Drosophila melanogaster: one gene and its partner. The protein of the gene in region 2 purifies or fractionates together with the protein of the main gene of each other region. This does not show direct contact. Each region holds a gene or a part of one and is shown on either strand. Other genes may lie near its edges.

Region 1 (4,930 bases), on a different chromosome or scaffold from region 2:
CGCCCCAATATTTTCACCAGATCTAATGAGAAATATGCTCCAAGTCTAGTTTCACGATGTGGCCAACGATCAGAGGGGAATGTCTCACTTTAATTGGACCCTGGAAAACGGAACCAACTATCACATTCTTCGCACCGCCTGTTATCCCTATATGAAGTACCACTGTAGCAAGAGGGAGGTGCAGGATCTTTGGCTGGAGGACAAGTTCTTTCGCTTCCTTAAGGTGATTAATTTGGGTAAGTCCAGTAAACGGATTATGCTACATAGGTCCGTGGTAACTCGAAAAAGGTGTATGCCCTGTAATGAATCCCGAAATGCATATGGGAAAGTCCTCATTCGAGTTTAATCAAACTCCCAAAAGACCGCATTTATATCCTTAAATTCTACACAGGCTTACCAATGCTCTTCTATGGACTGGCTGCCATCCGTCTAATTAGTCACACCGAGATCGTTCATGTCAGCGAGACGGTAAAAGTTCCCATATACTTTCTATATCCTGAGGACAAGGGCTCAAGCTTTTGATTTGATTTCCTGAACTCCAAAATGTGAAATGTGAAGAAAAGCCTTCTTATCTAAATATATGCATATTCAGTTAATGTAATTAGAAGAGAACACTGGAAATATCTCATCCATATATGTATGTATTTGTCTTTTTGAGATAACTACACCTTGCATTACTTAGTTTGTCTACTTGACTTAGTTTTATTTTAAAGCTATTAATTGAAACCAATTATTTAAAATTATCCAAAATCACATCTGACTATTTCTTAGCAATGGCCAGACACTTAAACAACAACCCAGAACGACACACACTTTCAACAAAGTCTGGAAGGCATCTTATGTTTTGCAATCGGTCGGATGATTTTCACAAGTCTCATCATAGTTATCTAGAAGCAGGGCCTTTACAGAGGCCTCAAACTGGGTCAGTGAGCACGGTGCATCGCAATTGGGAATGGTCAGCTCCTTGGGGAATTTGTCTTCGCTGTTGTAGTAGTAAACCAACTGCAACCAAACAACCCAAACTGGTAAGAATCCCATAGTTAATAGTAATACGCTACCAATACCAACCTTCACTTCAAAGTCTCCATCACTGAAAGACTTGCTGTGATGAAGCTCGAAGGCCAATGCCGATGCATATTCCGGAAGCTTGGTAGTCTGGTCCAGTATGCCCAGGGAATTCATCACGTTAACCAAAGTCACATCATGACCGGAGTACAGGAATATTTTGCGATCGGGATTGAGATTCCTCTTGCGCTTATTCTGCATTTTGTTGAGTATATCCGTAAGGAAAGCGCCACCCTTAATCCGCTTCATTAGATTTGTTTCGGTGAATAGCATATAGCTACGTTCAGCTAGTGGCCTAATCTCCTCGGGGTATATATTCTCAGTCCAATCGGGCAGCACCAGATTAGCTTCCTCTTCGGTTTTGAGTGTGCCATAGAGTAGCTCCACGTCCAGTACATTTGAAATGTTCTAAAGGATAATATGATAATATCAGAAGTGAAAAAGTGAAATATATCGTATGGCAATAAAGGAATTAACAACCAATATGGGTGCAACTCTCTCCCACCTTGCCTGTGTTTTTGGTTAGCAATTTGTACAGCTCCATGTTGTCCTCGTTCAGTTTCTGGAGTTCAGGAGGCGGAGATTTGTAAAGCTTCTGCAGAATGTGGTCATATTTCAAGCACGGTTTCTTTTGGGCCAACAGCTAATAGAGTTAGATCATAGTACTATGATGATGACTTGCATTTGACTAATGGAAATATACAATTGCACTCACGATATCTTCATTGCGAGATAGCGTATTGACGGCCACCGGCTGCCAGGGAATGGGTAGCACATTCTTGTTCTCCAGCGGCGGCATCATGCCGGCCAAGACGCTCTGGGCGCTCATCTAAAAGATAACACACGGCCAACTGATTAGGGCACCACCATCTCGGACAGATAGCAAATAGAGTTATAGAGGATTTCTTATCGAAACAATTGACGCACCACACAGCGTTCCGCGGCCGAGCTGAGCACATTCACCTGCTGCTGGGTGTAAAGGCTGTTCGGAGGCAGCAGACGGTAGTAGCGCATGCGCAGATTCCTTCCCAGGTTGTACGCCTGCAGGCTGCCTTTCTGTCAAAGGGGGTTTAAGAAATTTGTAGAATATAAATATCTTTATTAAAATATATTAAATAGTAATGTATGTTTTACGTGTCTAGCATTAAAGTTTTAGATATCACCAACTTGCATCTATAATTCATTCTTCATTGATCATTTTGGATCATAAAATTAAAACCAAATTGGAGTTTTAAATGCAATGAAACACACTGTTTTACATTATTGACATTATTTATTTACATGATAACCGTTTAATAAATACTCTTTAAAGTGTAAAAATTCGTACGATAAAATGTGTTAATTGGAAAATAAATAAACATAAACGAGAGCGTTATAGTCTAGTTTCTCAGCTAGTGCAAGCAATAATATATCAAATAGTACGAAAATCAAACAATTTTTTTTTAAATTTCCAAAAGAATGGGCGTGTCAGTTTTGATCAGCCCTATTGAAAATTGATGTGTTATCACTTATACGTTTTGAGTTAAGAGAAAGAATTTAAAGTTTAGGTAGGATCCATATCCTAATCTATACTATTGTATATCGAATACTAACCGGCGTGAGGGCTCCCATCCCGCCCTGCCAGTCGTGGGCAGCGTGCGGATCCAACGGATAGAAGCCACTCGGATTCTTGGCACCATGTCGGAACAGCTGGTGGGCATTGGATTGGATTGATAAACACAGTGCTCAGATCTCGTTGTTTACAACTTTATGCCAGAAGTGGCGGCAGCTTACTATGGATATCATGCGTAGATTCCGCAAACCCTGCTCGTCGTTGCTGTCGCCGAACACAAAGTATGCCATCATGACGAAACAGAGGGCACTTCCCAGGGCGATCACCGATATTTTGGTGCCGCGTCGCGATTTGCAGTCCATTTTTAGGGAGGGGGTGCGGTGGCGTCTCTATGCTCCTGCTGCAGTTGATCGAGAAAATATATTTCAGATTTGCAGCCTAAAAATAGTTTTTTGTTTATTTTATAGCGAGTGTTTTCGATTTCGCTGCCCCCGTCGACGAAACAAATAATAAATAAATACAAGTCACGTCCGATGGCAACAAAAGCCGTATAACAACTGAGCGACTGTCGATGGAAGGTTGCCTCACAGCCAGAAAGAGAGGGGGCGCTAAGAAGCGAGAGAGAAGGCTATATAAAACAGAAAGAGCCAGCTAGAGACAGTCGGAGAGCCGGGGAGACAAGTTTTCCATGTGATTTTGGCATTGCGCGAGAGTAAAGTCTTTGAACATGTGCGAATAATTAAATTAGTCGCTCATTGGCAGTACAAATTGGGTCTCGACTAGGTGCTACTGTGTGCAATATGGTGGTCTATCAATTTGCACTCATGTGAAAAACATTGTTTTTCAAGTTATTTGTCTTGCCTTTATATCTTACCTTGCGACATACAACTATCGCTAATCATATACACATGTAAGTTAACCAAATAAATATTTATAAAATATATATATTTTGATCACTACAAATTCCAACGAAAAATCAAAGAGGGTAACGTTTTTTTTCTATAGTCAAACGTAGATGCTGAACTGAAATATGAGATATCTATTTTCTGGATTTTGGTGCCTGTTCCTCGGCATCCTCCTCAGATGGTTCGCTGGTGGGTTCCTCAACCAGGTAACCCTGCTCGGTGGTATATTTGCGCTTCTGCGATACTTTTCTTCGCCTCCTGAAAACCGATTCTAATTTAACGTATTCCCCCGATCTTGACTGCTCGCTAATCTCCACCGATGAATAACTCTTTGACGAACGCTGCGAATCGCCAGATTCCTCAGCTGCGCCGGACTCTGAATTTGAACGGTTTAAGCAGAGAACAATCTCGGGAATTTCATAGCCGTATCCCTCGTCGTCATCGGTGTGCTCATTCTCCATTTGAACATATTCTAGATTTGGCTCATGGAAACATGAGTTGGATTCAATGGTTGGATATATAAGACCAGTTTCCAGATTTTGCCTAGTTGGCAGAGCCAAGTGCGTTTGCATATCCGATTGATAGTGGATAACGCCCATTGGTCCAGCTACATAGGCGGCATTGCTATCTGGAATTGACCAAGTTGATGAAGCACTGGTCATTATGGAGTCAATACTATAGGAACGGATTGCACTCGCATCACATTGGATCAAAGGATACTCATAAATCCCGGGCATTATGTATTCGTAGTATCCCATAACGGTACGGCGTCGCCTCGATCCAGACATTTTGGCCAGTTTGCTCCTGAACAAATGGACGTCTAGTTAACCCTGATCCTGGATAGTTAATTTGCTCGATATTATGAATAATTCTAGTAGGAGAAGTCCCCAATTGGCTCCAGTTGATTAACAATGGCCACTCTCATTCGCATAAAATAGATGCGAACATTTAATTCCCACATCAAGTGAAATTCCAGGCAAAGTTCGATGATCATCAGTTTTGTGGATATCGAGTACCAGTTCTCTAGGGGATTAGGCAGTCTGCTGTAGCGTGTATGGGATTGCTGTAATCAGATGCGATGATGGCGATGTCGGCGGTGTCCAAATGAGGACTTTGTCTGCCGGAAACTGAAGACGAAACAAATTTGGAATTTCATTCGACGAAAATTTTGAACTTTGCTTAGCTTGCCTTAGTTACATGCGAACACTACCTTCACAGACAACCAAGTGGCATAAAAGTATAGGTTTTCTAGATTTTTAAAAATGTCCTTATTGATGTAGGCATTACAGTTGACTCGATTAGCTCTAAAGTTCGCATAAAAAATTATATATTTATTTCAGATTGTAAGTCTACTTTTCATAACTCTATAGACAGTCTTTATCCATAATCTTAATAAGCGTAGTGCAGC
Region 2 (4,624 bases):
ATCTATCAGTTGCATACTTTTCTAGGAATACAACATACCCATTTTCATTTAACGAGTAATGGGTATAGATACTCTGGACAAACAATGTGTGTAGCACCTAAGTAGTTAATCAAATTTCTGATTTCATTTTTAATTGGCGCATTATCTTATCAACACTTACAACAACACTTCAGCCATTTTACTATCGCTCTTCAAAATACGTCAAGCAGATGTCATTCAGTCGATTATCCGATCGCGTCTTGACGTTTACATTGATTTCGAAATTTCTTACGATCTCCACCAAAACTGCCCTTGAGCTTGAGCCTTGAGATGCCTATGATGGTGAATCGATTTCTTTATATTCTTTATACACCCCTTGATCTATAATTCTATAATTCTTATTACTTTTTATTATAAAATCTCAATTAAATCTTATATCTTGCAAGTATTTAAAATCGGATGGCCAACCTACAACCGACATGTTGCGCACTAGCAATCGAACTTGTTGCGCATGCAACATCACTGTCGAACCATGTTCGATCGAGCCTTGTTGTGGATCATCCGCAACATTTGCCTTTCTTGAGTAATAAATCTCTACTGCATTTTATTTTTTTTTTATTATCATGCATTAATCAAGGTTAATTTTAATTTTTGTTATTTCGAGCAAACAACTTCTCTTTATCCAGTTTTTTAAGCTTAAAGCTTACTATGATTATTGCTATTATTTAAAGGTCCTTAAAGTCCAGGTAAATACCACCCTTCAAGGTGGCCATGAAGAAAGTATCATCTATCTGATTGTCCGAGCGGGTTTTAGGATTAACCTTGATTTCAAAGTTCCTCAAGATTTCCACCAGAGCTGCTTTAAGTTGAGTCAGCGCAAATCGCATTCCTAAATGTAGAGATCGACTTATTGTAGTATGTGATTTTCAGATAAATTTTTATAACACCAACCTGGACAGTGACGAGGTCCATCGCCAAAAGCTAGGTAAACACCCCTGTCTCTGTAACTTTTCATACCACCTCCATTGCTCTCAAGGAAACGTTCCGGCTTGAATGTCAAAGGATCCTCATAATACTGCGGATCGTGGTGCAGAGCTTTTACCGGTATAGTAACCACATCTCCGGGTTTCAAGTGCACAGTGCGTCCGTTCTTGTTCGCAAACTCAAAGGGTTCGGTGACCAGCTTACGTGCTGCAACTTGCGGTGAAAACAAACGCAAAGTTTCTAAAATTATAAAATTTTATAATGTAGTTAAAGAAACTGAATATCAAGAGATCAAGATAGAATTTCCCACCATATATGCAGGCGTCCAGATGCGGAAGCTCGGACATTTGATCAAAGGTCAGATCCGCACTGCCAATTTCCTTGCGGACCTTATCTTGCTCCTCCGGATTACGTCCCAGCATCAGCATAATATGCGCTAGAACTAGAGCCGTAGTCTCGAATCCGTCTAGAATGAAGGTCATCGTATTTATCAGGATGTTATCCGTGTGCAGGCCCTTCTTCTCCTGCAACTGCAGCATATAGTTGAGGAAATCGTCGCGCTGTTGCTCTGGTTTTTCCAGTCTCAAAGTAATGCATCGCCGGATGATGTCCAGGAAGAACACTTCCGTTTCCTTGTTGAAGAACGGTACGCTGTAGAACTTGCGCACCTTTTGCCACAGGTTGGTAACAACGCTGTAGAAGATGAACTCAAAGGAGGTATTGAACACACGCTTTATCATTTTCAACAGCGGCGTGGGAGTGTCCGTGAAACTCTGGGCCGATACTCCCAGTCCGCAGTCGGAAACTACTTCGGTGGTGTAGCAAAGAGACAGATCCATGGCGTCCAATCCCTCGGAGGTGGCCATCTGCTGCTGTCGCCTGATATATTCCACGAACTTTTTGCATACGCTCTGCGATACTGGATAAACGGCCTTGACCTTACGGAATTCAAAGATAGAATTTTGATTGGATAGATGGTTAATGTGGTTCCTTACTCGATTGGGGGACAGTGCTGGCATGATCTCCGACCTTCTTTCCTTCCACTCGTCGCCAGTTAACACGAACGGATTGTTGCCCAATATCATGTCCGTCTTTTTGTTCACCTATGAACATTGTAATTCAGTAATGGATTATCCATTATTTACTAAACTTACGAGTACTTACAAAATTACGCCATTCATTGTTATGAAAGCTACGGAAATCGGTTGCATAGATCTTGTGTATATATTCCGGACACATGACCAGCAATTGGGGCACTCGGGTGGTAAAAACGCCCACCATATTGTCCGTGTCTTTATACTTTCTGCAAAAACAAAAAGTTCACATCAAAAAGTAACTTATATTAGCTCTAGAGAAGACTGTTCTGATTTTTACACCCATTAAGTATAAACTGCGCTTTGACTCCACTATTATACAACATAACTATAGCTTGCCCTTCTCACTCATATTGTATACATACTCATAGATATCATCAATATCGTAGGCAATATTTCGCTTTCTTGTGAAAATGCTGGGAAAACTTCCAACAAATGGCCATGTGGGAGCCGTCTTGATGCCACGTTTTCTCCAATAGTTGAAGTTCCATGTCAGAAACACGTAGACCAGAACCAACAGGGTCAGCACGAGGACAAGAAATGTAGTTACTGGGCACATGTTGGAAGCTTATGGGCTACAGATTAACGCAGGGGCCTATATTTATGCCAAAAAAATAGACACGCGCTGGAAGCAATCTAATCGTATTTTAATAAATTTCCTCTTTTAAAATTTGTTTGTTTTTTTTTAGTCTGATTGCATTAATCTCGTAGCGCTCGATCAAAAGTCAATTAAACAAGATAGGTAATAAAATATCGATAAGCATGAAACCTGTAAAACCAAAACGTATATAGTTATGTCAATAGAGCTGCAGACATAAATTCAAAGGTATAAAAAAAACAATGTGTTTTATTTTTTATTTGTTTTTTTTTTTTTTAATAATCATAATGCATATAAAGGTACAGTTGTTCACAAGAAAGGAAATCTTAAAATGCTACATAAATTATATTAACTCGATAACGGCTAATTATTTCATAACCAGATAGAAGCAGCAAAGTACACAAATTTAACATTTAAATCAAACTTAATTTTATACATAGTAAATCGTTCATAGGCCTAATAAATAAATGTATGTATTTTCTCAATAATAATTGGCCAAGCATTAAATAATAGAAAATAGTTGTAATAAACAAGTTGGATAAGTATAAGGCAAATATAATTAGGATTATCAAAAAATATTAACAACAAAATAGGTATCTTTTACTGGATGGACTTACGTCACTTGTCAATATGCATATTGCATTTTTACGATTTTTTTTTTTCAAAGAATTAATCTCTTCTTTTATGAATTCATAATATTTTTGTTTTTTGTATACGCATTTTACATTTTTTCTTTATACAGAAAATTTGTAGGTTGGTTTAGCACCGGCATAGGACACTTGCTTCGTTTTGTTCAATGCTCGTGGCACGCACGTTTTCCATTTTCTTTTCTTTGAGAGCTGGCTTCGATGGTCAATGTCTATTGGTAATTTGGAAATGAGTATCAGGAATGCTTGAAATGTCTAGGCCCCAGTGTCGGGATGGAGTTTAAGGATTGATTTCGAGCCCAGTGACCTGTGGCTGGCGCACTGGCTGCTATCCCATCTAACCCTTGGCCGTGGGAGAGATCTTGGCCTTGGGTAGAGTGATCCTTCTTGACACGGGGTCTCTTTAGAAGCCGGAGTCCAAATGGAGGTCAATGCCCACTGTTGACAGCATAGCCCTGAGTTTGGGAGAAGGACGCGCTGGAAACTAGGAACATTGGTTGCCATGAGGATCTCCAGGCGATTGGTCTATGTGGGTCATGATTTTGTCTTGGGATTTCGTTTGCCTTTCTAGCCCATCGCTGGCAGCAGGAACTTGAGATCATATCCTGCGAAAATGTTCCACGAAATTGGCAGGATGCTAATCGCAATTTTCTGCTGCCCAGGATCTCTCTAAATGCGAAAACGTGCGTTGATGAGTAAAATGTTCGTGTGCGTATTTTGATTTCGTTTTAGCTTAGATATTTTTATATACAAAATGTTTGGGTTCTCTATAGTTTTTTTGGGATCATATACGTGGGTATATATGAATATATAAATTGTTTGCTGTGCAAATATATATGTATAATGTATATATCGTTTTACAAAAGGGTTTCGGTTACTTGTCGTTAGTTTGAATAGTTAGTTCATTCTGTTTCTTTTTATTTTTTTGTTTAATTCTTTTACGTGTTTCATGTTCGGCTTGTCGAGTCTGTTCGGTTCAGTAGGTTATATACAAATTGGTTGTTTTATTAATGCCTCTAGCTATCGAATGACTATAAAATTACATACAATTACAAAATGTGATAAACTACACAAATGTACAACTCTTCCATTTCGATATTCAACATTTTTTTGTTTAAATTTTTCTTACTTGAAATTTAGCTTTCAAAAGGCATCTTTAAACTGGGTTTTTTCATAGGGCGTTTTTCATAGGGGGTTCTTCTTAGGGTATAGGGTTTCTTGACTTTTTTTTTGATCGTGTTTCATTGCACTAATCCAATTGCAACTCGACAGCTTTACGTGGGTGGCGGTCCGTGGGGATACGACAACATGGGCTCCAGGCT

Evidence for each region.
Region 1: the proteins of Cyp28d2 (region 2) and CG6656 purify together in Drosophila melanogaster (affinity purification with mass spectrometry, with the first as the bait; one large-scale study listed by BioGRID). This does not show direct contact.

Annotation. Positions count from the first base shown.
Region 1 is NT_033777.3:21,873,539-21,878,468, reverse strand, and holds CG6656 (uncharacterized protein), read right to left. Parts: upstream 3,177-4,930; 5' UTR 2,980-3,176; coding exon 2,839-2,979; intron 2,755-2,838; coding exon 2,659-2,754; intron 2,122-2,658; coding exon 1,993-2,121; intron 1,895-1,992; coding exon 1,781-1,894; intron 1,709-1,780; coding exon 1,571-1,708; intron 1,474-1,570; coding exon 1,069-1,473; intron 1,003-1,068; coding exon 838-1,002; 3' UTR 681-837; downstream 1-680. Other genes in the region: CG34148 (uncharacterized protein), read left to right, coding at 50-236, 392-522; CG31178 (uncharacterized protein), read right to left, coding at 3,657-4,310.
Region 2 is NT_033779.5:5,205,300-5,209,923, reverse strand, and holds Cyp28d2 (cytochrome P450 28d2), read right to left. Parts: upstream 2,658-4,624; 5' UTR 2,617-2,657; coding exon 2,423-2,616; intron 2,267-2,422; coding exon 2,128-2,266; intron 2,067-2,127; coding exon 1,959-2,066; intron 1,902-1,958; coding exon 1,274-1,901; intron 1,204-1,273; coding exon 931-1,203; intron 869-930; coding exon 705-868; 3' UTR 579-704; downstream 1-578. Other genes in the region: Msp300 (Muscle-specific protein 300 kDa), read right to left, coding at 4,577-4,624. UniProt on the Drosophila melanogaster protein: May be involved in the metabolism of insect hormones and in the breakdown of synthetic insecticides.